Linked DNA regions of Arabidopsis thaliana. The protein of the gene in region 1 interacts with the protein of each later gene in a pairwise test. Each region holds a gene or a part of one and is shown in the gene's direction. Other genes may lie near its edges.

Region 1 (8,064 bases):
TTACTTGCTAATAAAGTTTCAAGATTATGAAATCATGAAGATATGGTTATAAAAGGATCCGGAAGAATGTTAATATATTAACTTAGGAAGTTTACCATTATTTCAAAATGTATAATTTACTTAAGTCTTGAGATGTGGTTATTGTATATATTTTCATTGTTACTAAATAAGAAATTTAACTATTTAGTAACAAGAAAATGTACACAAATATTAATTACTTTCCTAATAACAACTAAAAATATGTACTAAATAGACGACTTAGAAATATGTAACTTTCCTAGAAATCAAAAGGAGTTTCTTATGAGTCATTTCTTAGTTACAAGATATATATTCTTGTAACATGTGATGGTGATGAGAATGCATGTTATTCAATTTAAAGTGTTATATAAAGTGTTAACATTCACATAATGACATTAAAGTATAAGAGATAACTACTTTTTTTTTGGGATAGAATAGTTAATATTCGGGTGAGGGTGTATAATATAGTTTTCACGAAATCATGGGATCTAAAAGTGGGAGCAGTTGATTGAAGTTCTAGATGTTGAAAATTGAGTCCATGATTAAATCTTGTAATATCATATATCCTTTGAAGAAAAAGAATATATCACATCCACATATTTGGTTAGTAATAGATTACTCTGTAGATTTATTCCTTTTAGATACCAATGATCTCTTCTTTTTATGTAAACCATCAATATCTGCTGAATAATGAAATACGCATATCTATAGAAGATATTTTTACTAGTAGTATATATCATAACTAGATTATAATTCGCCGCAGAAACAATTTTTTTTTAAAATTAGTATATATAAAAGTCTGCAAATTATATTTATCTATAAAATATTTACATTTTCTAGTTTACAATTGTTATTAAGTAACATTCTTCCAAACCCGTTCCGCCAAACCCGTCCCGTTAAAAAACTCCGCGGTATACCGCTAATTTAAATAAATATTTTATAGGATTGTAATTATATTTTAGTTTATCAAACAAATTTTTGTTTTAAATAGTTGTCGAAATCTAATTCAAATATTGGAGAAATAAGATTTAGTGAACTGATAGTAAATGTATTTAGGTGCGTTTTGGTCATTTTAAGGGATTGCAATTGTATTTTGGCTTGTCAAATATTTTTTGTTTTAAATAGTTTCCAAAATCTAGTTTAAATTTTGGAGAAATTTGCGTGATATATGAGATTAGAATATATTTGGAATATTTTTTGTTTGTTAATCAATTTATTGCCAAAAGAAAACCAATAATTAAAAGCCAATGGCAGGCATTGTAAATAAGTTCGAACTCCAAAATTTATTTCATAAAATGGCTGCAAAAATGTATATATAAATATCAGTTTGTGGAATATTTTAGAAAGAATCATACGATGTAAAATTTTTGAATTTTTCCTAAATGTAAACTTTCGAATTTTCTCTAGTATATTTTAATGAAAAATGTAAACTTACCAAATGTTGCTGAAGTATTTACAAATAAAAAATTCTCTAGTATATTTTTAATGAAAAATGTAAACTTACCAAATGTTGCTGATGTATTTACAAAAATGTAAAGTTAGTGTTGACAATACATGTATATAAATATAATCAGTACACGAGAAAAAAAGAAGAAGAAGAAGAAAAAAAAAACTTAAGAAGAAAGATTAGAGATTGGTGGTGTGGTGAACATGAAGATGGACACGTATCATTTGACAGGATACATCTGCTTGGTGTTGGGCGTCCTCATCTTCACTCTTGCGTCGTGCTTGTATGGTCCTTATCTACGTCGCAAGTTATGCCCATGTTGTGAACCTAGTGATGACACTAATGCATAACTATTATTTCTTCCGTTTTATATTAGTTGTAGTTTAAAGATTTTTACTTTTTTTCAAAATAAGTGTTGTTTTCAATTTTTTATACAATTAATAAATATATTTAATACTTTTTAATCAATTATACTTAATCATATTTTTTTATTGGTTAAATTAGTTATAATAAATAATATTTTTATATAAAAGAAGTAGATTAAATTGAAATTTTTATAATTTCTTAATATGTGTGTAAAAACCTTAAACTACAACTAATATAAAACAGAGAGAATATTATTTTGCTACTTTCAAGTTTTAACTATGTTTCTGTTACTTTTTTTTTAATTACCTATAAAATAGCAGAACAATATTTTTTGCTTCAAAATATTGTAACTCTATTCTATTTCTACGTATTGCATTGATATTTATACGATAATACAATTTTCTTTTCAAATAGTTTGTTTATTGAAGCTGTCATTTTCTTTGGCTTTGTTTTACTTTTTCTTCGAGTTCAATATTCCATCTCACCGTTTTGTTTCTTATATATTACATGTACTACATTTTGCTCAATATTTTGATGGTATCACATCCAAGTTTTGCAAAACATGTCGTCAAATTAGAAACTTATCAAAACAAATGCAACCCCATTAATATCATTTGTATGCAAATCCTTATTTTCTCTAAAAATCTCTAGAAAACCAATCAGATCCCTATGCCTAATATTTTCAACATGTTTTGCAATATCTAAAATTTTAAAATAAGAAAATTATTGATTATAAATTATGAGAATTATTACATTTTTACATAGACGATTCTACCGACTTCTAATGGTTATCTTAACGCGTATAATTACATTAAAAAAAAGAGAGTTGTAGGGTAATTAATTAAAAAATTAAGAAATTAGAGTAATCTGGGAATTGGATAGATTTCGTGCTAGGTAATTATTTATTTTTATTTTTTTTTAAATAATAATTTTAATAAAATTCGATCCAAATGGGCTTGGGCTTAAAGTCTACAACGCAAGTGACCCAGTTACAAAAAGGGAAATCGGAAAAAAGTTCACCGGAAAAGAAAAGCGGCTCGACTCTTGTTGATCACCGTTCGCAGAGTGACCAAATCTTAGATCTGGCAAAATCAAGACTCACAACTTTGCGACCCCATCAGAAGATTGAAACAACCGGTGAAAGATTTCAGTTTCCGACCAACCATCTCTTTCTCCCGATGCACCAACCCGCCACAAGTCTCCCAGAAAATTAGTCACCCCGACGAAGCGGTTCGACGGTGAGAAATCCCGACCTAGCAACCCCTCACACTTATAGATATCCTCGCTCTCCTTTACCGGAAACCCCTGAAATTCCAGAACCGCCGTGACTCGATCCGGACAGTCGGCTCACTCGAGACGGCAAATCTAGAAGCTGGTGGCTCACTCATAACTACTAAATCCGACCCCCGTCTCAGCCATTGAAGACCTAGATCTTCCGCTACCCACCTGTCAAATCAACACCAAACCCACCTTATCCCCTTCAACTTCCGCCGTAGATGCAGCTACCAGGTCGACGACTGAGCCTAAGGAGAATCAAAGCAACTCCCAACGTCCACAACCGGGAGACCACCGCTTCAATGCTCCTCCTCCGCCAATCTAGGGCCACAACCACATTAGCGGGGAAACACCACACCCTTGTTGACGGAGAGGCACGACGACTCACTCCTGGATCACTTGCGAGAAGACTTTGTCGACGTTAAGAGCAGAACGGAACAGAAAATTCTAGATCTAAAAACCAGAAATCGCCTACAAGCGAGAGAGAAATACACGGTTTACGAGGCAACAATTGGGCCCGATTTTCTCAGTTTGCTAGGTAATTAATTATATGAAGTTGTGATTGATTTCGTCTCTGATAAGTAAGTTGATAAAATTTTGGCTTAACGTTATCGCTTGTTGCATGATGTTAGTATGGAAGTTAGTAGTGATGATTTTTTTGACGAAAAAATTACTATGTAATATGTAATGATAAATATGTAATGTGTTATTAAATTTAAAGTGTTAATAAGGCCATTACATTAATCAATTATTCGGGGTATATTAGTAATTTTGACGAAATCATGAGATCTAAAAGTGGGAGCAGTTGATTGACGTTCTAGAGACCGTTGACGAAGAAACGCCGAAGCTGACTTCTTCTTCCACGCGTTCTCCAAATCCAAATGCACACTCGTATAAATTGATCGGAGACGATCTCTATCAAATCAATCTGAGATAACAAAAAAAAAACCCAGATTCCATTAACCCAGCTCGAGAATATAATGCACGATTTCTGCTTCACTATCCCGTACGGGATCCTTCTGATCGTCGGAGGATTTATCGGGTATCTGAAGAAAGGAAGTATTGCATCTCTCGCCGGAGGAGCAGGCACTGGATTGCTTGTCGTTCTCGCTGGTTTCATCAGCCTTAAAGCTTTCGAGAAGAAGAAGACATCGTTACTCGCTACTCTTCTCGAAACAGGTTTTTTTTTTTTTATCTCTCGTGATTGGCTTAGATCGAATTTTTGTTTGGATTCATTGGTCTGGGATTAGATTTTGGTGATAGGTGCCACTGGAATTCGAGTTCTTATTTGCATTTTATTCCGAAAAGGGATGACTTTCAAGCTTCAATATAGAAAAATTACCAAATTTAGACCCAAGTTAGGTGAATTCAGAACAAATTGATTGGCTTCTTTGTTGGAATCAAGAATTTGTTTTTACATGGTAGGCTCTAGCGTAAGAGTTAGATAAGCTATGCTTAATTGATGTATTGTGATCTCATAAATGAAAACTGATTCACATTTTAAATGTGGATTGTGGTTATTGTTACCATTCACTGAAAACAGAACCAAACCCAAAAACAAAACACTTACAAGGCCTCACAGTTTATCTTCTGTTTAAGTGATTATTAGTGACTGAATACTCATTTGAAAATGTCTTGTTATACAGTCATTGCAGCTGCTCTCACATTTGTCATGGGACAACGGTTCTTGCAGACTCAGAAGATTATGCCAGCTGCTTTGGTAGCTGGAATCAGGTATTTATCTTTTTTTTTTTTTGTATCTAAAGATTTAGACTTTCAAGGGCTCTCATGAACATTTTGTCTGTATTGCAGTGCTCTCATGACTTGTTTCTACGTATACAAGATCGCAACTGGCGGCAACCACATACCACCGAAAGCTGAATGATTAGTGTTATACACTCCGGTTGTCGATGAAGCTCCTCCACTGTTGAAATAAGGTATATGGATTTTAGATTTACAAATCAGGATAGTGTAGATAATACTGATTACGCTCTATAAGGGAGTTTAGTTATCTTGGTCCCTAGGTGAACATGGTTTTCCTGTAAGAATCTCTTTCATAAATCTAATTTGTATTTTCTTATGATCGAATCAGGCTGTTCCATTTACTAAGAAGCTATTAGCTCATAACTGTGTTCAAAAGATAACAATTAAAATATAAAACACTTAAAAGCAAACCAGTTCTCAAAAGATACTAAGCAGCAATATAAAAAGATACTTAACCTAGAGATCACAAAGGTGAGATTGATCTTTGATATTCTACTTGCATTTGACTGCTCCCTTCTTTTATCTGCTCAAAACAATACCTAGATCCAACGAGCTGCTTCAATTTTTCTCTGTCTCATGGCACTCCTTTCTTTCAAAGATGCCAGATTTCTCTGTGCCATAGTAATATGCTCTTTTAACGACAATGCCAGCACCTTCAGCTCTTCCAATCTCTTTTCGTATGAGTCATTAGCAGCATCACCCTCACCAAAATCATTCTTTCTCTTTTCTAAATCCTCTAACTGCTCATTGGATTTCGAAGTTTCATCACTTCCGAGGCCATTATCTTGAAGCCCACAATCCTGTCCTTGGCTTCCTTCCCCTACAGCGATTTGAATGTTTGACTCATCAGTTGGGCTCAGAACCACACTCTTGCATGCTCTGCTTGTTTCATCTCTATTAGTTCCTCTGGTAGCATGCTGTTGATGAGGGACTGGTTCAATGTTGTTCATTGTGTCATCATCAGCAACAACATCTTCCTTCTCAGCTTCACTACTGCACAACTTCTCATCTGAGCTCGGCTCCTCTACTGCAATGATACCATCTTCGTGGAGCAAACACTTTGGTTGCTTGCTGCCATCATCAAACATATCTGCATTACTTTCATTTACATCAAGCTCATCATCACAGGCTTGCCTTGTCTCTGGTGGTGACACAACAATGTCAACTACTCCTCTGTCAGCACAAAAAGGAGGTTCTGAAGAGTTGTTTTCATCAAATGGGCTCTCATCCATATTCGTCCCTGCTCTGCTTCCAGCTTCATCGGTCTCTCCATTCCTATGCGCAATTTCTGATGGTGGTACAATTTCATCTCTTATTGAAGCAAGCTTTTGAAAAGTCCCCAAATCATTGTTATCTGCCTCAACTCTACTTATCTTACCAAGCGGTTCAGAAGCATCTCTTCCACTATTCCGTACATCACTATACTTCTTCTTATTAAGTCTCAGAAATTGAGCAATGGAGAGGTTATCATCTTCATCATTATTGTCTGAATGAACATGTGTATGACATTGACCCATATGACTCTCATTGTTCTCACGAACTCGTTTCATGTACTTGCGTCTCTTGTCGAAATCCTCAGCTATCTTCATTCCATCTTTGCTTGTTCTGTTCACCTTAGAGCCTGAAAGAACAAAACTAGTATCACACCTATGATGTTTCTTGATTTCAATGTTTCACCTGACTCATTGTTACCGTTTTTTCGAGCTTGCTTTATGTACTGGAGTCTTTTTTCACGAGCTTGCTTCATGTATTTGAGTCTTTTGTCACGAGCTTGCTTATTGTAATTGCGTCTCTTGTTTGAATCGTCAGTTATATTCATTTCATCCTTTCTTGTTCTGTTCATCTTAGAGCCTGCAGCAACAAAATTAGTATCATCACCTATGATGTTTCCTTATTTCAATATTTCAGTTGATTCATTGTTACAGTTTTCACTAGCTTTCTTCATGTACTTGCGTCTCTTATTCTTGCTTTATGTTCTTGCGTCTTGTGTTTGTCGAATCCTGAGCATGAATTTTCATATTATCCTTGCCTTTCTTGTTCATCTTGGAGCCAGAAGGAACAAAACTAGTATCAGCCCCTAGGCTTTTTCTGTCTCTAGCTTTCAATGTTTCAGCTGATTCATTAGCATCCTTATCCTTAGAAGAAGTCTGGAATTCTGGAAACGACCTCCTCCACCATTCGCAGAACGTTGGAGTAACACGAGGTATTGCAGAACGTGAAGGAATGAATAATGCTAAATCGTTAATAGGCTTATTGTAATCATTCCAAGCTGCCTCCTGTGAGAGGTTGTTCTGGTTAACAGCACAAGGAACATCTTGAAGCATCCCAAACTGTGAAGCCACTCGATTGGGAAAGTAATGCTCCACATTGTCAATTCCAACAAGCTGAGACACCTTAATGCATCGAGCAAAGGAGACAAATTCAACATCAAGATTGGGACTAGCAGGAATCCACACCGCTTTCTCGGGGTAAAACTTAGGAAACTCTCACTCTTTCTCAGTTTTTGTGTAGGGACGCCACTCAAAACTGTCGATTTTCAAGCTATCCAGAATCTGTCTCGCATCGCTGGTTCTCTGTAAGAGGCCATGCCAAAGAGCCAATCTTGGCTCACCTTTCAGCAATGGATTGGGTTTTACTGTAGTTCCTTGAACCTCTCCCATGTCCAAACTTGAAGCAACTTAAACAGGGCAGTGAGATCAATTCTAGCCGTACTCGTCGATTCACTGAAAGCTGTGATGTGTTTTTTTAAGAGACTTAGCTCAGCATATAAGTGTGCAAGAACAGCAAGGGCAAGAGCAATCCTAGTACCAGTTGAAAGATGAACAACAATTGGGAAAACAGCTTTATAGAGATGATACAAGCGTGATGGAAACACAAAATAGTTAAGCCACAAGACGAGGAAAGCCACATGCTCAAGCTCATCACCACTGTCCATGAATCTCTCCATCCATGCTACTTGTGTTACGAAATTGACTTTAGCTTTCTTAATCTTCTTCCACTCTTTATCCAGTTTCGCCTTAACCTCCTTTCCTGAGCTATCCAGAGTGGCAAAAACAGGTGAACCCAAAACAGAGAAACCTGAAAGCACCATAACATCTTCAAGTGTGACAGCTGTTTCACCCCAAGGGAAAACAAAGGTTTTGGTGTAAGGACACCATTTCTCAGCAATACCCAGAATAAGATCCGGGTTTTTA
Region 2 (7,396 bases), on another chromosome or scaffold:
GCTAAGTGTTACTAATCAAAAACTACATAAACAAACATTGAAGTTATAACGTTAAACTTACCTCCAAAATGTAACGAGCGACCCAAATTTCATCAGCAGCCGAGATACCAACAGCTGGACCGACCTGGAACTCCCACTGACCCGGCATGACTTCTCCATTGATGCCACTAATGTTGATCCCAGCGTATAAGCAGGCCTTGTAGTGAGAATCAACAACATCTCTGCCAAAAGATTTGTCTGCTCCAATACCGCAATAGTACGGTCCCTGCAATACATTTTCGCCTAAAATTTTAGAATAACCGACAACGGAAAAGATACAAAACCGATTATATATCCATCTTCTTCACCTGAGGGCCGGGATAACCACCAATAGGCCAACCAACAGGCCACTTCACATCTTTCTGGAGTAAAGTGTATTCTTGCTCAATACCATACCATGGCACTTCAGCTGCAACATCAGGGTTGCTAAAGACCTTAGCCGCAGCGTGTCTTTTGTTAGTCGGGATTGGTTCACCCGCGGGAGTGTACGCATCGCACATGACCTGATCAAAACCATTAAGTTAAGATGGATGTAATAAAGCATGGCTGCAACAAAAAAGGTCAAAACTAAAAGAAACTCACAAGAATGTTGTTTCCTCTACGGAAAGGATCCTTGAATATGGCTTGAGGGCTAAACAAAGATGTACAAAACACAAAAGATTAGTAAACAAGAATCGAAAAAAAAACCAATGAGAAGAATCTGATTTAAGATCAAGAAAGAAAGATTATTAACTATAAGATGACTTCACTGTCTTCACCAGGAGCTTGGCCTGTGCTTGAACCATCATAGTTCCACTTTGGTAGCTGCGAAGGGTCAGTCACTGGTCCAGGTAGAGTCTACATATATAAACCAGAATTACTACCAAAAATAGAGATAGACAAAAGTTGACCTTTTCACAAGATTATCTAGAGAATGAAAAATTACCCTGGCTTTGCTTCTCATGTCCATTCCAGAACCACCAACCCTGATTTGGTATTAAAAGAACACCAACAAGAGACAAAATATTTCAGAAAATTCAATCGTTATGTTTAAAAACAGAGCCAAAAACAGAGCCAGAACAGAGCCAAAAAACAGAGCAAACATCATCAGGGGATAAAAAGTTTTGCAGTATTGGCAGATTCAGGAGCCTAATAGATTTATCAGCAAATTAAACATAGATCTGAAGAATAAACAAAACCAAATTGGCTCTAGAGGACTAAGAACAACCAAAGGCAGACACAAAACCAAAACTATAATCCATACAATCCCAAAAAGTAAAACAGAGTCAAAAGTTGAAAAAACAACACGAACCCATTAGATTTAGGTTTGATACGAGAACATATACACAAACAAAAAACGATTTTTATGAAAGAAACAAAAGAAGAAGACGAACCATATGTATTCAGCAATGATTTTGTCAGTGGAGTCTGAGAGGTTAAGGTTGATGAGATCTGAAACAAGACTCATGGCTACAAATACCAAGGGTTTGGATGATAGTAACAGTAATAAAAATGGAATCAAATCTGTCTCGTGTTTTGATATTTTGGTAGAGAGAGATATGAAGAGTAGTACTTATAGAAGGAGGAGGGGTGGGTGCAGAGATTGAGGAAGAGGGTGACGTGAAGACTTTGGAGACTTTTTGGCTCTCCACAAGGAAAGAAACAAAAAATACAACTAAATATCAGGAATAAAATTATAAAGATTCTTTCGCGGCCCAATGGAATCTCATATTTTTCAGGAATATTAAAGTTTACATATATAGACACACCAGGTTACAATTTTGTATGAGGTCATTGGAATAAAAAGAGAAAGAAATGTAATTATTTAAGGTAAAAATCTCTTTCTGTAAATGCTAAAATAAAATTTGGGAAAAATATTAATATTCTTAATACTACATTTTCTGTGTTATTGATTTTTAAATTATTAATTTTAATTGATACAAACATAATATGATATAACAATATATTTTTTTTTAATATGTGTAAAAAAAATCTTAAATGATATATAAAACAAAACGGACAAGTATAATTGATATATTATTTTATTTGTGCAAAATATATCAATAGATTTAGTATAATAATGTTTTAAACGGTGATTAGGTGGAACCATAATTAAACACTCTAATCATCTTGAAATTAGTATTTGTTTTCTAATGCAACTTACTTAGATTATTATTTTTAAACGAAATTCGCTTACTTAAATTTAGTATTAGATCGAAACCATTTGTCTCACATCTCCGGTTTCTCTCCAATCATTTTATGGGGTTTAAGGTCATTAATCATAAACAAGAATCAAAATAAATCTTTCCTTGAGGAATTTTGTGAAAATATCACGGTGTCATATCAATATCACAAGGTCATTGTTTTGTCTATCGAATCTTCGATCATCTTGAATCTATTCTGGTTTTTTTCCACAATGACTTTTCAACACAAAATATTGTTCTTACTTGACAAGAAAACGAGTACCAAAGAAACCGGAGATACTCTAAATTCTTAGCCATACAAACCCAAGTAAACTATCTAAAACCAAAGATTTTTGTTTTTGTTTTTTTGGTTTATATTCAACTTTATTAAAGATAATGAAACTCAAATATATATTCCGATTAGATAGTTGAGTTGACTTTGTTTTGGGAGCATGTAAGAGGACGTTTATGACGGGCATCGGTTGACTCGGCCCACAACCGTAAGAGTTGAAGTCTAAAATTGTTGACTTTTTTTTTAATTTTCTAAAAATATAATTATTTTTGACAGTTAAAAGTTAATTTCAAATCATATTTAATTATTTATTGAACACACATCTAATATATTCTTTGCAATTATATGATAACTTTTCATTTGAACAAAATTTGTAGTATCAATTCAACGTAGCTCCAATTAGATGACTACAAAGTCTGACATGTGGGATTTGTAAGCTTATAGTTTTAGAGAAGTCATAATGTCTTTCGATAATGTCTTTCGATAGAAGGTTCAAGCCAAAGACATCGATTGATTCGACAAAATTATCAAGATATATCTATCTTCTTATATAAATTCAAGATTCCGGTTAAACGTCTCAAAAGAGTTCTAATCATAAACAAGAAATTCAAAAAACTCTTCGGCTCAGAGGAGAGTGACCAAGAATTTTATCTTCTCCAGGAAGTCATTATTGATACGAATTTTTCTTTGAAACCGAAGTTCCTAAGAGTCAGATATAATTCTCTCATCTCAGTCTCCATTCTAAATTTTGAGGGAGACTGAAAGGGGATTAAGATGAGAGAATTAGGGTTCGGAGATTGAGAGAGAATTAAGATGATTCAGATATTTTCTTTCTAAAAGGAGAGAGGAACCAAAAGAAAAAAAATGTAGCGTGGATTAAGAGTTTAATTGAATATATTTTCTTCTAAATTGTAAATAGGATCTCCAAAACGGAAATGATACGAAAATTTTAGAACTTCTATATAATTTTTTTTTTATATCTTCTCTATGTCTCACTAATTTAGAAAATATAATAAAATCGTTTGATTTTAGTTAACTATGCTTTGGGAAAGATGTAATTTATTAAATATTTAAGAGAATAAACCAGAAAACAATTAACTACTTTTTAAACGATGGATATATAAATCAGAAATTAAAAATAGAGAACCCAAAGTAATAACATAATTTAATTTTTAATTTTTAATTTATATTGGATTAATATATATTCTAAATATTTGTGGTATTATATATTTATTTATATTATTTTTTTGTGCACCCAATTTTATTTATATTTATATTATATTTTTGTAGTAGACATCCCTAGAGAGTAAGCACAAGTTGGACATCTTTAGAGAGTAAGCAATATTATATTTATATTGATGTTGGGTTCTAATGACATCTAGAGTTTGCTTACCTCCTTGATTCTTTGCAATGTGTCCCTGTCCAATCGAAATGACTACAACCATGCTCAGTTGAACATGTTATCCGAACGGGCCAGAATCAGTACAATTGTGGGGTTGTTTGCAAATCCAATTCTCAGTTTTTCTGCTGTATTCGGAAATGACTTTTGGCGATTTGGATTTGAGTTAACTTTGGATCTTGTGAACCGGATAATCACTAAGGCAAACACAGTTCTTAGTTTGATCACCGAGGACACAACAACCACCTTTTCCATTGATAAGAAAGCAAGCTTATTCACTGCTTCTTACTACCAGCGCTTGCACTCTAAAACAGTGTGTGGTGCTGAGGCGAAGTACATATTATCTGACAAGAGCAACTCTTTCTCCATTGGGAAGAGACATTTATTTGGTGATGACGATTTGATCCAAGCTTTATTGAGTGTGAGCAATGGTGGTTCTATGAGAGTTCTTTTTCAACATCATTGGACTTTGAAATCATTTTTCACCATAGCTGGAGAAAGATTGTTGAACCATTCAAGTCAACGATTTGGTTTAGCAGTTGAACTATGAATAGTGATCACTTTTAAACCCTTTTTTTGTGTAATTCTGGTTACAAATTTATGATGAAATATGTTTTAAGTTTTTGTTTAAGATTAGGTGAATAATCTATTTCTGTTTTATTTAAGATTTTTTTATTAAAAAAAAATATGAAATGGAATCGACGAAACTAAATTGGATACGTACACGGGACCTATGAATAATGACAGTGTTAATACTTGTACCTTCAGAATTGTCCGATAACAATTATTGCATTCACAACTTGCATAAGGTGACATATCGACAAAAAAGTACATTCATTTTCAACTCTCTGCATTGCATATGTCATGTTTCTTAGACGATCGATTCAATCATTTTGTAAATAAATAATAATTATTGCATAGAAAGATTACAGTAGCTAGGGTGATTTAAGATCATATGCCATGTGTGTTTCAAATTAAGTTTATGACAAAATAACATGTTTTTGATCATTATAATGACATATATATTTCATTATTTTGAAATTCTTATTGAAATGTATTTTTTCATTATTCTACAGCATAATCTACCAAAGCTATATTGAATTTTCGCCCACTAGACCAAATTTTATAGATTCAAACTAGTAGACTTTTCCGAAATATTTGACTTAAGTTGCTTTAGATAAACGTTTTGCGGTAGTTAACTAATGATATATGTAGGCTAATGATTTGATTTATTTCTCACTAATATTCGATATCCACATAATGTATATTATTAGACAAAATTATATTTCTTGAAACAAATATATATTCTTAAATCAAAGAAATATCGTATAATTTTATTAATCAGCTAAGATCAAAAACAAATTAATTAATTGGTGAGCAGATCAACGACGTGCAAGAAAACTATCAAATAATAATAGTACGGAGTGTCTCTAAAAATATTCCTAAGGTGGGCCAACTGATTGTTACACATTTTAATTAAATGTTGGTGATAATGTAATGATGATGTATATTATTGTATCATGTGCTTAAGCTTACTATACCAATCTTTATACTATTAGATTAACAGAATTTCAATCATTAAAACAAAATCTTGAAAACAGATATGTGAAAATCTCACAATAAAAGTCAAATAATTGTTGTTCAGTTTCTGATGTGAGATCATAGGTCCACTCTTGCAAATCAAGCAGCGCCATTTATGCCTGCACGCATACTAAATTAATAAGTTGTGATAATCAGACGCAAAAAAGGAAAAAGAAGATGAAAAAACAGAAAGGTTCATCAACATACTAGTTGTTTACTTGGTTGTTTAACCAATTTGGAAGTATTGCCACTAATTGACTCATACCAAGTTTCTTGAGCAGATTATTTGGTTAGACTAAATGGGCATCAGTAACTAAATAATGTAGCCCATATGGATCATTAATGGGCTTGTAAGTTTTTTTTTTTTAATGTATTATTTACATTTTTGTCGTCTTATTACATTATTACTAGAAATATTTAATCTTTGTATTATTTTGAAAAACTTTTATCACAAGAAAAAATAAAAGGTTGATGATGAAGTATTAGAGAACATTATGTGTTGATGATCTGGTTAACTATGTGATAGGTTTGGCCCGGATGCTTTGTAGTTTGTTAACAAAATTTCCTAAATTAAATAATATCAGTTACCCGTTTCTTGTTGGGTCTGAGACTGGGCTGGGCTAGAATGTGTTTGTCTATTTCAATTATATTCTTATTTTTGCTTTTTTTTTTCTTTAACACCAAATCAAATATATTAGATTATAAGAGTGTTACATGATATATAATACATGAGACCATTCAAATACAACCATTGAATAAAATAAAGGAAATTGTACACAATTTCGATGAAAAGGTGGAAGTGACACTGCTTTCCAAACGGAAGCCTTACAAGCAACAGATGAAATCTGTTAAGTCCCCTCGTCATATACTCGTAAAAGGCTAACATCTTATAGATGAAACTCCCAAATGCTTTCTGCATCACTTTGATTAAACGAACACACAAATATGTTGCTTGAAATGGATCTCGAACATGTCTTATTTTGACGATGGGTAGAGTGTTATTTTTGCTTTATAATCAAATTATCTACAACAAAATTTATACATCCCAATGATTATACACAAACAACTATGTATGTGTACTTGCTGCTTCTTTCAAACCTACCTATTTTCATATACTTTCATTTGTTGTAAGATTGGTCCTGGCCACCCAATTAACCAATTTATAGTTATAAAACCTAATACTTTTTTTTTTTAAAATGTATTTTTTGTTTTTGACATCAAAATAAATGTATTTATACCTAAACCATAAAGAATTTTAATGGCAAAAATATCAAAAAAATCATGAAATTTTAAATTTGGGATGATTTAATCTTGAACTTCACGGAAGACAAATAAATCGTAAAGTTTTTTTTTTACTTTCGAAATAAATGACAAAGTTTGTGTTGACTTGTCATTTGAGTCATATCGTTAAATAGGTTAACAAAAACTTTTTTACAGCGTTAATGTCTTGTTTTATTTGCTCTGTAAGAACAAAACGACGTGGTTTATTGCAGAGACAAAACATATTATATAGTCCACATATAATTGGCCTTCACTTAAACATATTATAAATTACGCTAACATATTAAGCATATATTTCTTTGTGCTATACAGTGTGGATCCTTACCTAGAATTGAATTAAATGGCATAGTGGTTTGCAATAAAACTGGAAGCTGGAATATGGTAATTTGATCATAGTGAAGTCACTTATAGTCTCCTTTTTTTTCTTTTCTAGTTCTATGTATAAATTACACACTTTTTTTTGTAAGAAAAATTGTTCATAAATATCCAAACATCAAACGGTTCATAAATATTCAAACATAAATCAATTCTAAACTCTAAACTGTTCACAAACGTCATAACATAAACCAAATTTGACTCTTACCAATTATTGATATGGTCATGGCTACTATCAACAATAACCATAGTGAAAAATATGATAAA
Region 3 (8,251 bases), on another chromosome or scaffold:
CGGTATTGGAAACCACCTGCAGCATCTTTACAATAAATGAAGTGTGACAGATCAAATTGTGGATGTGAATTAGTATATAAAAGTGAATGGACACATACGTCTTCTTTAAAAGTTGCATCTTTCTAGTAGTCCATATGACAGGGCTAATAAAAGTTTCAAATAATTCGTGGTCAGGGGCAAAACTGTCTTTTCATCAGATCAGACTGGTAACGTACTGGATTTACCGCCATTTCATAAAAGGTTTAAAGATATTTTGGTTTCCACTTTTAAGGCAAAAAAAGAAAATACTAACATATTTCTGTGTGTTGACGTCATTTATGAAGGATGAATATCGGTCGAGATTCATGGACCAGCACTGAATAAGGATGCTGTATCATTTAGTTTATATATGTCATATGAATAAATAAGTAATTTTTAATCCTTGTTGAGAATTGGAAAAATAACATGCATGTTAAAATGCATCTGTACTACAACAAGGTCTATGAGTTGGTTTTTCCTCTTGTCGAAGGTTACAGAGTTCCTCTACCGTTGGAGGAGAGAGTAACTAGTGTGACATCATTCTTTCGTAAGAGATTGTGGAGACTAGAGACCGAGAGTAGTACAGAGAATTTTTTTTAATTGTTCCATATTTGAATTAGAACTCTATCAAGTGTTTCTTTTTGTGTCTAATCTCAATATTAAGCAGTGTCACTTCCATGTCGGCTGCTGGATAAATCCAGCTTTTTCCGTTTGGGTCGAAAACTAATGGGCCAAATTTTATTGTAACGGGCTTGGAAGTTGGGACTTGACAATGTGAAGTGTTGTTTTTCTTCTACATGTTTTCAGACAGAATAAGCCTATGAGTGGTGTCTCATCTTCTTCCTTTTTTTTTTCTCCATTTTTCTCTCTTGTGCTCTCACAAGTCGCAGAGATCGAAACGGAAGAGACGATAGATAAACAATCTGTTGATGAAGTATGAGCAATGAGCACATAATGTGATTTTCCAATGTTTCTTTGCTTTCACATAAACATAGGAAAATACAATGGAGAACAATCAGAATTATGTTCAGCTAGCAAAGAAAATAAAACAGATCACCCGAAACAGAGCAAGTAAAGAAACATGACACAAAAAAGCAGAGCACAAGGAAAAAGCTCGGCCTAATAACAAAAATCATTTTCCTTTTATTCAAGGCCGATCGATTTTATGGGCCTAATACAAAAGCCCAATAAGCTACTGATTCGCACAATCAATTTCTTATGAGACCCACCGTAGCAACTTATGTCGGCTATTCACAGCCACCACCACCGCATAAAGTTATGATCGAGAATTCTTCTGAAATTTCTGAGCACAATTTCTTATTTTGTAAATTGATTTGTGGCAAGTTAAAAAAGCTTCGAACATAGAGTAATAATTTGGCTCTCTTGTGAATTGCATTTGGTTTGGACTATATGTTATCTGTGTGGAATCGAATCAAAATTATCAATCTGGTTCGTCGGAGTTGGATCAATAGTGGAAGTGACAATTAATAGTTTGTCGTTTGTGTTTTTATTTCGGTTCGGTTTACATGGTTTTGAAAAATTCAATTGATTTCGGTTGGGTTTGAATTGGAATTAAAGGAGAAAAACACTGAAATCACACACTCGAGGCTTTTTTTGAAAGAGGCGAGTGTGTTTCAAAACAAGCCATTTGGTGGGTTAGAACCCACAGAAAACGTATACACGCGCTCAACACGCGTTTGGTGAGAGTGGTTGTGAAATCGCCCGAGAGGTGAGAGTGGGGTATGACATGGAATGCTCTGATTAGCTTATAAAATAAAAATAGTAGAGATGTAGCTCCTTCCTTCCTATGTTAATATTTATTTACTTCTCTTTTCCAAAGTATCATTTCATTTCATGTACAGTAGTGAACAGTACTAGGAAGCCGTTTAAGGGTCAATTTGAATATTTTGTCATTTGACGTGCATAGCTTAACAATAACACTAATGTCATGGATCTGGACAAAATAATTACTTTAGAAAAGTAATTATTTGCAAACGTGGTTAAACAGAACAATATGTTCAATTTATATGTAGTTGTAATTACAATAACAAATTTGATCATGACAGTGAAAATAAGCTTTTATTTTTATAAAAATACCTAATCTCTTAGTTTTTTTTTCCTTTCTTAGCCAATGGATGAGGATGACACGATAATGATAATCAAAGATCAACATGGCACGCTCAAGACCGCCTTTAGAAGTCCTCTCTAAATTCTTTCTTCCGATCTCCTAAATATGTTTTGTTTTGGTCAAATAAATTGATAGGTAATACTTAGTGATTATACTATTTGGTTTTTGTTTTATCATTGACTATTTCACTTTTATAAATCAAATACTTATCAAAATTGTTCTTTCCGTATGTATTCATATTTTCTAATATTGTAAAGATTTGTTTCACCTAACATCTGTACCCATCTTTGATCATTGACAAAATATATATTAGAATGGCCTTAGAACGTGTTAGGCATCTTCCTACTATTATCATATTACCTAATCCCCAATTTTATTACATTTTTTAATTTCTAAAAGAGCTTGAATATAATGTCATTTCGAATATCTCTGTTCATCTTTTTTTTTTTCTGTGCGACTTCTGACCCAAAGCCTTCGACGATTTTTTCCAATCTGAAAACTTTTGAATAAGGAACTTAGTCAATGGTCAACACCTTGCTAATTAAACAAAGTTCCATTGATACAATAATGAGATTTTTGTACATTAACGCTTTCATATAGTTTTTGCGATTCAACAGATAATCTTAAAATTAAGGAGTCCTATTGATAAAGTCTTGTTCAAACGTACAAACTCAATCCACACAAAACCTTCATAAAATACGATATAGGAAATAAAGATTGTTTTTGCGTGAGAAAATACTATATGAACTCAAAAGATTTTAAAACAATTTGTATTAATACATAAACAATTGTTGTGATACACCCGTGTAAAATTTTAAGATTGTTTTTTTCTGAAATTCTTCAAGGAAACTTATAGCTTAAAATCTACACTTCAAATACTCTGTTTTAAAGGCATTAAAAATAACTGCGTTTCAGAAAAATATTGAAATTTTAGCTGATCTTTTGCTACAAATTTAAGGAATCTTGGCACCTGCAGAATCTATAACATGTTCATTAAGTAATGCAATAGTTATACAATTATACATTATTTGCATCATACTTATATTATAGTGATATTAACAAACCCATGTTCTCAGCACACTTTTACGTAGAAAAACATAAAAACCCAAATAGGAAGAAGCCACTCATAAGGATAATGGGTTTATATAATTCACAGCAAAGAAAGCCATCGAACTATTCGATTAATTATCCATTCTTTTTTTTTTTAGTTTGAATGTATAAGAACAAAGAGTTGTTACGCATCATGACAATGTCTTAGAAAACAAAAGAAATGAATAAAAAAGTAAAACGAAAAATAAAAAGTGAGGATGAAGTTGTTGAATGAGTTGGCGAGGCGGCGACTTTTTCATACATTCCATTTACTTAATTCCTAAAGTCCTTCTCACATCTCTTTGTTATATAATGACACCATAACCATTTCTTCTCTTCACAATCTTTACAAGAATATCTCTCTTCTACAGTAAACAAAAAATGGCAATGAATGGTTTGTCCAAGATGGCTGTAGCCGCCGCAACTGCTCTTCTCCTAGTTCTGACCATTGTCCCGGGCGCAGTAGCTGTGACTTACACTATTGAATGGACCACTGGTGTGGACTACTCAGGTTGGGCTACCGGAAAGACTTTCAGGGTTGGTGACATTCTAGGTAAATCATCATCCGAACCACATTACTTATAACTTTTATAATTTTCAGATAGATTCAAGCTATACATCAAAAAGTGTAGTAACCTAATCTAACCCAAGTGTAGTTTAATATTGGTTTCGGTGGTTCAAATTAAATTAAGTTTGCTTTAGTACGTAATACCAAAAAAAAAAAAATGTGTGATTTTTTTTTTGTTTATTTGGTCTCAGGTTCTTAAATATAGAAAGTTAGAAACAGTAAAAAGAAAGAAGAAGAAACAATTTTTTGATTTGCTTGTTTTACTTCTTTATAAATTTCTACCATGTTGAAATTGAGATAACTTATTCTACAAGAAATCTCAGATTTGGTAACCAGATAATTTGGGACTCTTGTCTTATAATCTTCCTAGGTATGGAGAACTCTTTACTTAGGTTTTAATTTATTTATTTATGGGGATATGAAACAGAGTTCAAGTATGGTTCTTCCCACACGGTGGATGTGGTTGACAAAGCCGGATATGATGGCTGCGACGCCTCCTCCTCGACTGAGAACCATTCCGATGGAGACACCAAAATCGATCTTAAGACTGTAGGAATAAACTATTTCATCTGTTCTACACCTGGTCACTGCAGAACCAATGGCGGCATGAAGCTAGCCGTTAATGTCGTAGCCGGTTCTGCCGGACCTCCGGCCACTCCCACGCCACCTTCTTCAACTCCGGGAACTCCTACCACACCGGAATCACCTCCGTCTGGCGGATCACCCACACCCACCACACCCACACCTGGTGCAGGTTCAACTTCTCCTCCTCCTCCACCAAAGGCAAGTGGTGCGTCTAAGGGAGTGATGAGTTACGTTTTGGTGGGAGTCTCGATGGTTTTGGGTTATGGTTTGTGGATGTAATTGGTTTAGAGAGCCAGGGTGGAGTCAGTGCTTTTGCCTTTTTAAATTATTTTGGTTTTTGGTTGTAAGAGAATTTGGGTTTGTGTGCCACGTCAGAAGCTCTTCATTATTCGTAGGATTTTTATTATCTCGGCATTTGATTATCGTTATCATCATCATCATCACATTCACTTATTCTCTTGTTGTAATAAATTATACTATTAATTTTCATTTTCGTTCATGTGGAACCACTCCATCGTTCGTAATTATCATCTGTTCTCTTCTTCATATTCGTTTTTAATTTATCGGTTTTGGAATCACATGTACAGTTGTTTTCCACACCATCCCTTCGTATTTTACATATATAGTATGTTATCAAGAATGAATCACGTACAACAACAACTAAGAGATATGATCAATTCCTGAAAGAAATGATTTCTAGCAATGTGTTCAAACTCTAGTTGTTGCTATGGTTTAAACGATCACATAAACAAATGCAACTTGGGATAGGTAGTATTCGATTAGCTGTACCTAGCTTTTAAATTAAAAACTCTTATCTTATATTTTTTATTTAGATTGGTTATATATTTGAAGAATTCTGGACCGAACTCATCTCTCCATAAGAGTCAAAACCTTATATTGACGCAAACTTAACTACCCTTTAGATATGATAGAACTTAAGTTATATATGATAATATGAAGATAAGTTTCTCTAATTTTCTTATAAATAGTATTGTCAAAGACTTTTTATTTGACCCATGACCATGAGTACCTTGTCAATAACACATGAGCAATGCCAATGGAATTTGACCCTAATCAGGAGTGTCCTTTACGGACATAACTCAAAAATAATTAAGAAGAGGGGACTTTTCAGACATTCCCTTAATTAAGCTTAATTTCTCATTAGTCGTTCTCATGCCTCTTTGTTATATAAACCATCACCGTTACCATTATTTCCTCCTCTTCACATCTTTAATTTAAAATAGCTCTCCACGTTTAAACCTCAAGATGGCAACGAATGGTCTTTTCCTTGTTATGGGCTTCATTGCTATCGACCCAGGCCCATCTGCAGGCCTGCAGTCTCTATGACTTAATTAGAGGCTAATCAATGGGCCAATTGCGTGGACTACACAGATTGGGTTGCGGGAAAGACTTTCAGGGTTGGTATTATAACTTATCGTACAAGAAAACTCTGTTTCGTTTTAGGTAAGTGGCTAATGTTAATCTTTGAAACAGAGTTCAAGTACGGTGGATGTGAATGTGGTTGACAAAGCCACATATGAATGGAGACGGCTCATCCGCGACAGAGAACCATTCCGATGGAGACACCAAAGTTGATCTGACGACAGTAGGACCAAACTATTTCATCTGTCCTACACCCGGTCACTGTCTTGGTGACATTACGGTCGTAGCCTCTCCTTTCTCTCCTCCACCCCAGACTCGCAGCCGTCTGATGGAACACACGAAGCTGATTCAGGGTCAACTACGCCATCAAATGATGCATCAAGCGGACTAATAGTAATAAGCTACGTGGTGGACTGGTGGTCGGGATGTCGTTGGTGTTGGCTTGCAATGTATGGATTATCAAGGTGTGTGTGAATTGATGTGTGAGCCACTGATCAGCCCTTCGTATTCGACATGATTATTGTGCTTAACTGAATTTAATAACAGATTAGTGAGAGCGCTAATCAGTTTTCTGATACATCAAATTAACAATTAGCCAGAGTGTAAGAATCTAGACTATAGTATAAGCGTGTTGATTGTAGTAGGGCTTTGTAGATCTAATAATTATTTTGTTGCTGTAGAATAACTCGTGACTGCTTGTGAAGGCCGTCTCTATTATTCACGCAGAATTTTCACAGCTATAAACAATCAAAGTAACTTCTTTTTTTTAATACACAAACAAATGAAGTTTTAACCTCGTGTAGAGTCTTTAACAGAGACTGCTTTTGAACTTGTGGACATCACCAAATGATTATTATCCCCACACAATAAGATCAATCACCCACACAGTAACTAAAAAACCTGAACGTTGTTAGAAAACAATTCCATTTTAGCTACACACTCCTTGCAACCAAATTGAGATTTATCCCAACCTCTCCCCGTCTCTCTCACACTCTTTTTCTTGTTTTAATATAACAAGTAACAACTCGGTGTTGAAGTTGTTTCTTAGAACCACCAAACACAAGAAAAGGTCAACGAAGAGGTAGAACCGAAAGCGTTGAAGATGAAAAGTGAAGAGAGAGAGAGAGTAGAGCAACCTTGTGTTATCCTGAGGTTAGAAACTCTTCTTACTATTTAATATCATCATAAGGGCTATTGATTGAGAAGAGCGTAGGAGGGTAAGTCCTCAAGATGCATTATGTCTTCCAGCATCAGCTCTCTCTCCAGCTGTCTCCTTGTTGATTTCATCACCGTCTATGTCATCCAATATATTCCAAGACAAAGCATCAGCATCGCATGTATGTATGTAAATGACCAAACTAATGTCAATGCTTTGTAACGACTATTACTTACGTTAAACTCCATGTATGAGGCACGCATTGAAAGCCATTGCTGATCCATTAGCTTGAATGCAATGCAATAAAGAAGGTCAAATGCAGATTCGTTCTCTGCTTACACAAATACCCAATACATTTATCTAAATCAGTGTCCACATCTAATTGAAGCACCATGTGTGGAAAAAGGCTTTTCATTATGATAAGACCACAGCATTGTGTGAGAGATTACCAGAAAGAAATTTCAGAAAAGTTGCCCCAACAATTGTTCGCGGTTTCACTGTACATTTTAAAAGTATATACATCAGAATGACAGACTATGAACAATATGAGACATCTGCCTAATGCATGCAAGAAGATTCTATAGTAGTTATGTGCTTCCCAATCCTATGACTCCAGATGTCAATAGCAACTATCACAATCATGAATCATGGTAGGTAAGTAAATTCATGTGGCTGTATACCTGCTTCAAGGTCAAGCATTTGGATGAGCATGAATGTTAAGTTGATACCAGCGACAGCAAAGGGGTATTCCCACACAGACCGATCCCCAACCTGTTTCCTCAGAAGGTCCTGGAAGGATTTCTGCAGCATATAGACATGTGCCGTTTAAACTAAGTGACATAAGTGGATCAGCAAGATCTATAAGAGGTGAATTCATGAATAACTGATTGATCGATAATTTATGATGCATGGAAAGTGAAATTTATAAAGGAAAATCAGCTCATTCTTTTCATGAAATGTTTGTATATGTAGTGTATAGGTATACCTGAAAGTTCCTGGCAAAGTACAGCAAGTTTTCAAGAGATATGAAACCACCACCCCTGCCAGATGATGCACTGTAAGTCAGAGAACATATGCAAGAAATACCTGTAACATAAATGATAAGGAAAGTCCGTGTTATACCTAAAATCTGTTGACGGATCTTTGCCCTGCCAACCCATCTCTTTCCACTGCTCAGATATTAATCCATGAAGCTCTTCTTCAGGAAAGGAAAGTTTCCACAGCTCCCTTAGAGCTTCCTAAGAGCATATGACGAAGTAACAAAGTAATCATCAAAGCTGGTACATTTGAATTTATGATGCTAGCTTACAGTAAAAAGGCCACG

What was found.
Region 2: the proteins of AT1G50740 (region 1) and AT5G37610 interact in a protein complementation assay, tested with the Arabidopsis thaliana proteins (one large-scale study listed by BioGRID).
Region 3: the proteins of AT1G50740 (region 1) and UCC2 interact in a protein complementation assay, tested with the Arabidopsis thaliana proteins (one large-scale study listed by BioGRID).

The regions. Positions count from the first base shown.
Region 1 is NC_003070.9:18,803,775-18,811,838, forward strand, and holds AT1G50740 (Transmembrane proteins 14C), read left to right. Parts: upstream 1-3,897; 5' UTR 3,898-4,086; coding exon 4,087-4,285; intron 4,286-4,752; coding exon 4,753-4,840; intron 4,841-4,918; coding exon 4,919-4,991; 3' UTR 4,992-5,261; downstream 5,262-8,064. Other genes in the region: AT1G50745 (plant mobile domain protein), read right to left, coding at 5,410-6,491, 6,563-6,713; AT1G50750 (aminotransferase-like, mobile domain protein), read right to left, coding at 6,829-7,309, 7,507-8,064. UniProt on the Arabidopsis thaliana protein: May be involved in free fatty acids export.
Region 2 is NC_003076.8:14,934,171-14,941,566, forward strand, and holds AT5G37610 (Eukaryotic porin family protein), read left to right. Parts: upstream 1-3,861; 5' UTR 3,862-3,950; coding exon 3,951-4,442; downstream 4,443-7,396. Other genes in the region: GSR 1 (uncharacterized protein), read right to left, coding at 62-265, 348-542, 622-670, 773-876, 965-1,004, 1,413-1,486.
Region 3 is NC_003071.7:18,458,598-18,466,848, reverse strand, and holds UCC2 (uclacyanin 2), read left to right. Parts: upstream 1-3,315; 5' UTR 3,316-3,616; coding exon 3,617-3,788; intron 3,789-4,230; coding exon 4,231-4,667; 3' UTR 4,668-4,986; downstream 4,987-8,251. Other genes in the region: AT2G44770 (ELMO/CED-12 family protein), read right to left, coding at 6,963-7,064, 7,164-7,258, 7,377-7,424, 7,608-7,728, 7,913-7,967, 8,050-8,165. UniProt on the Arabidopsis thaliana protein: Probably acts as an electron carrier involved in oxygen activation and/or lignin formation.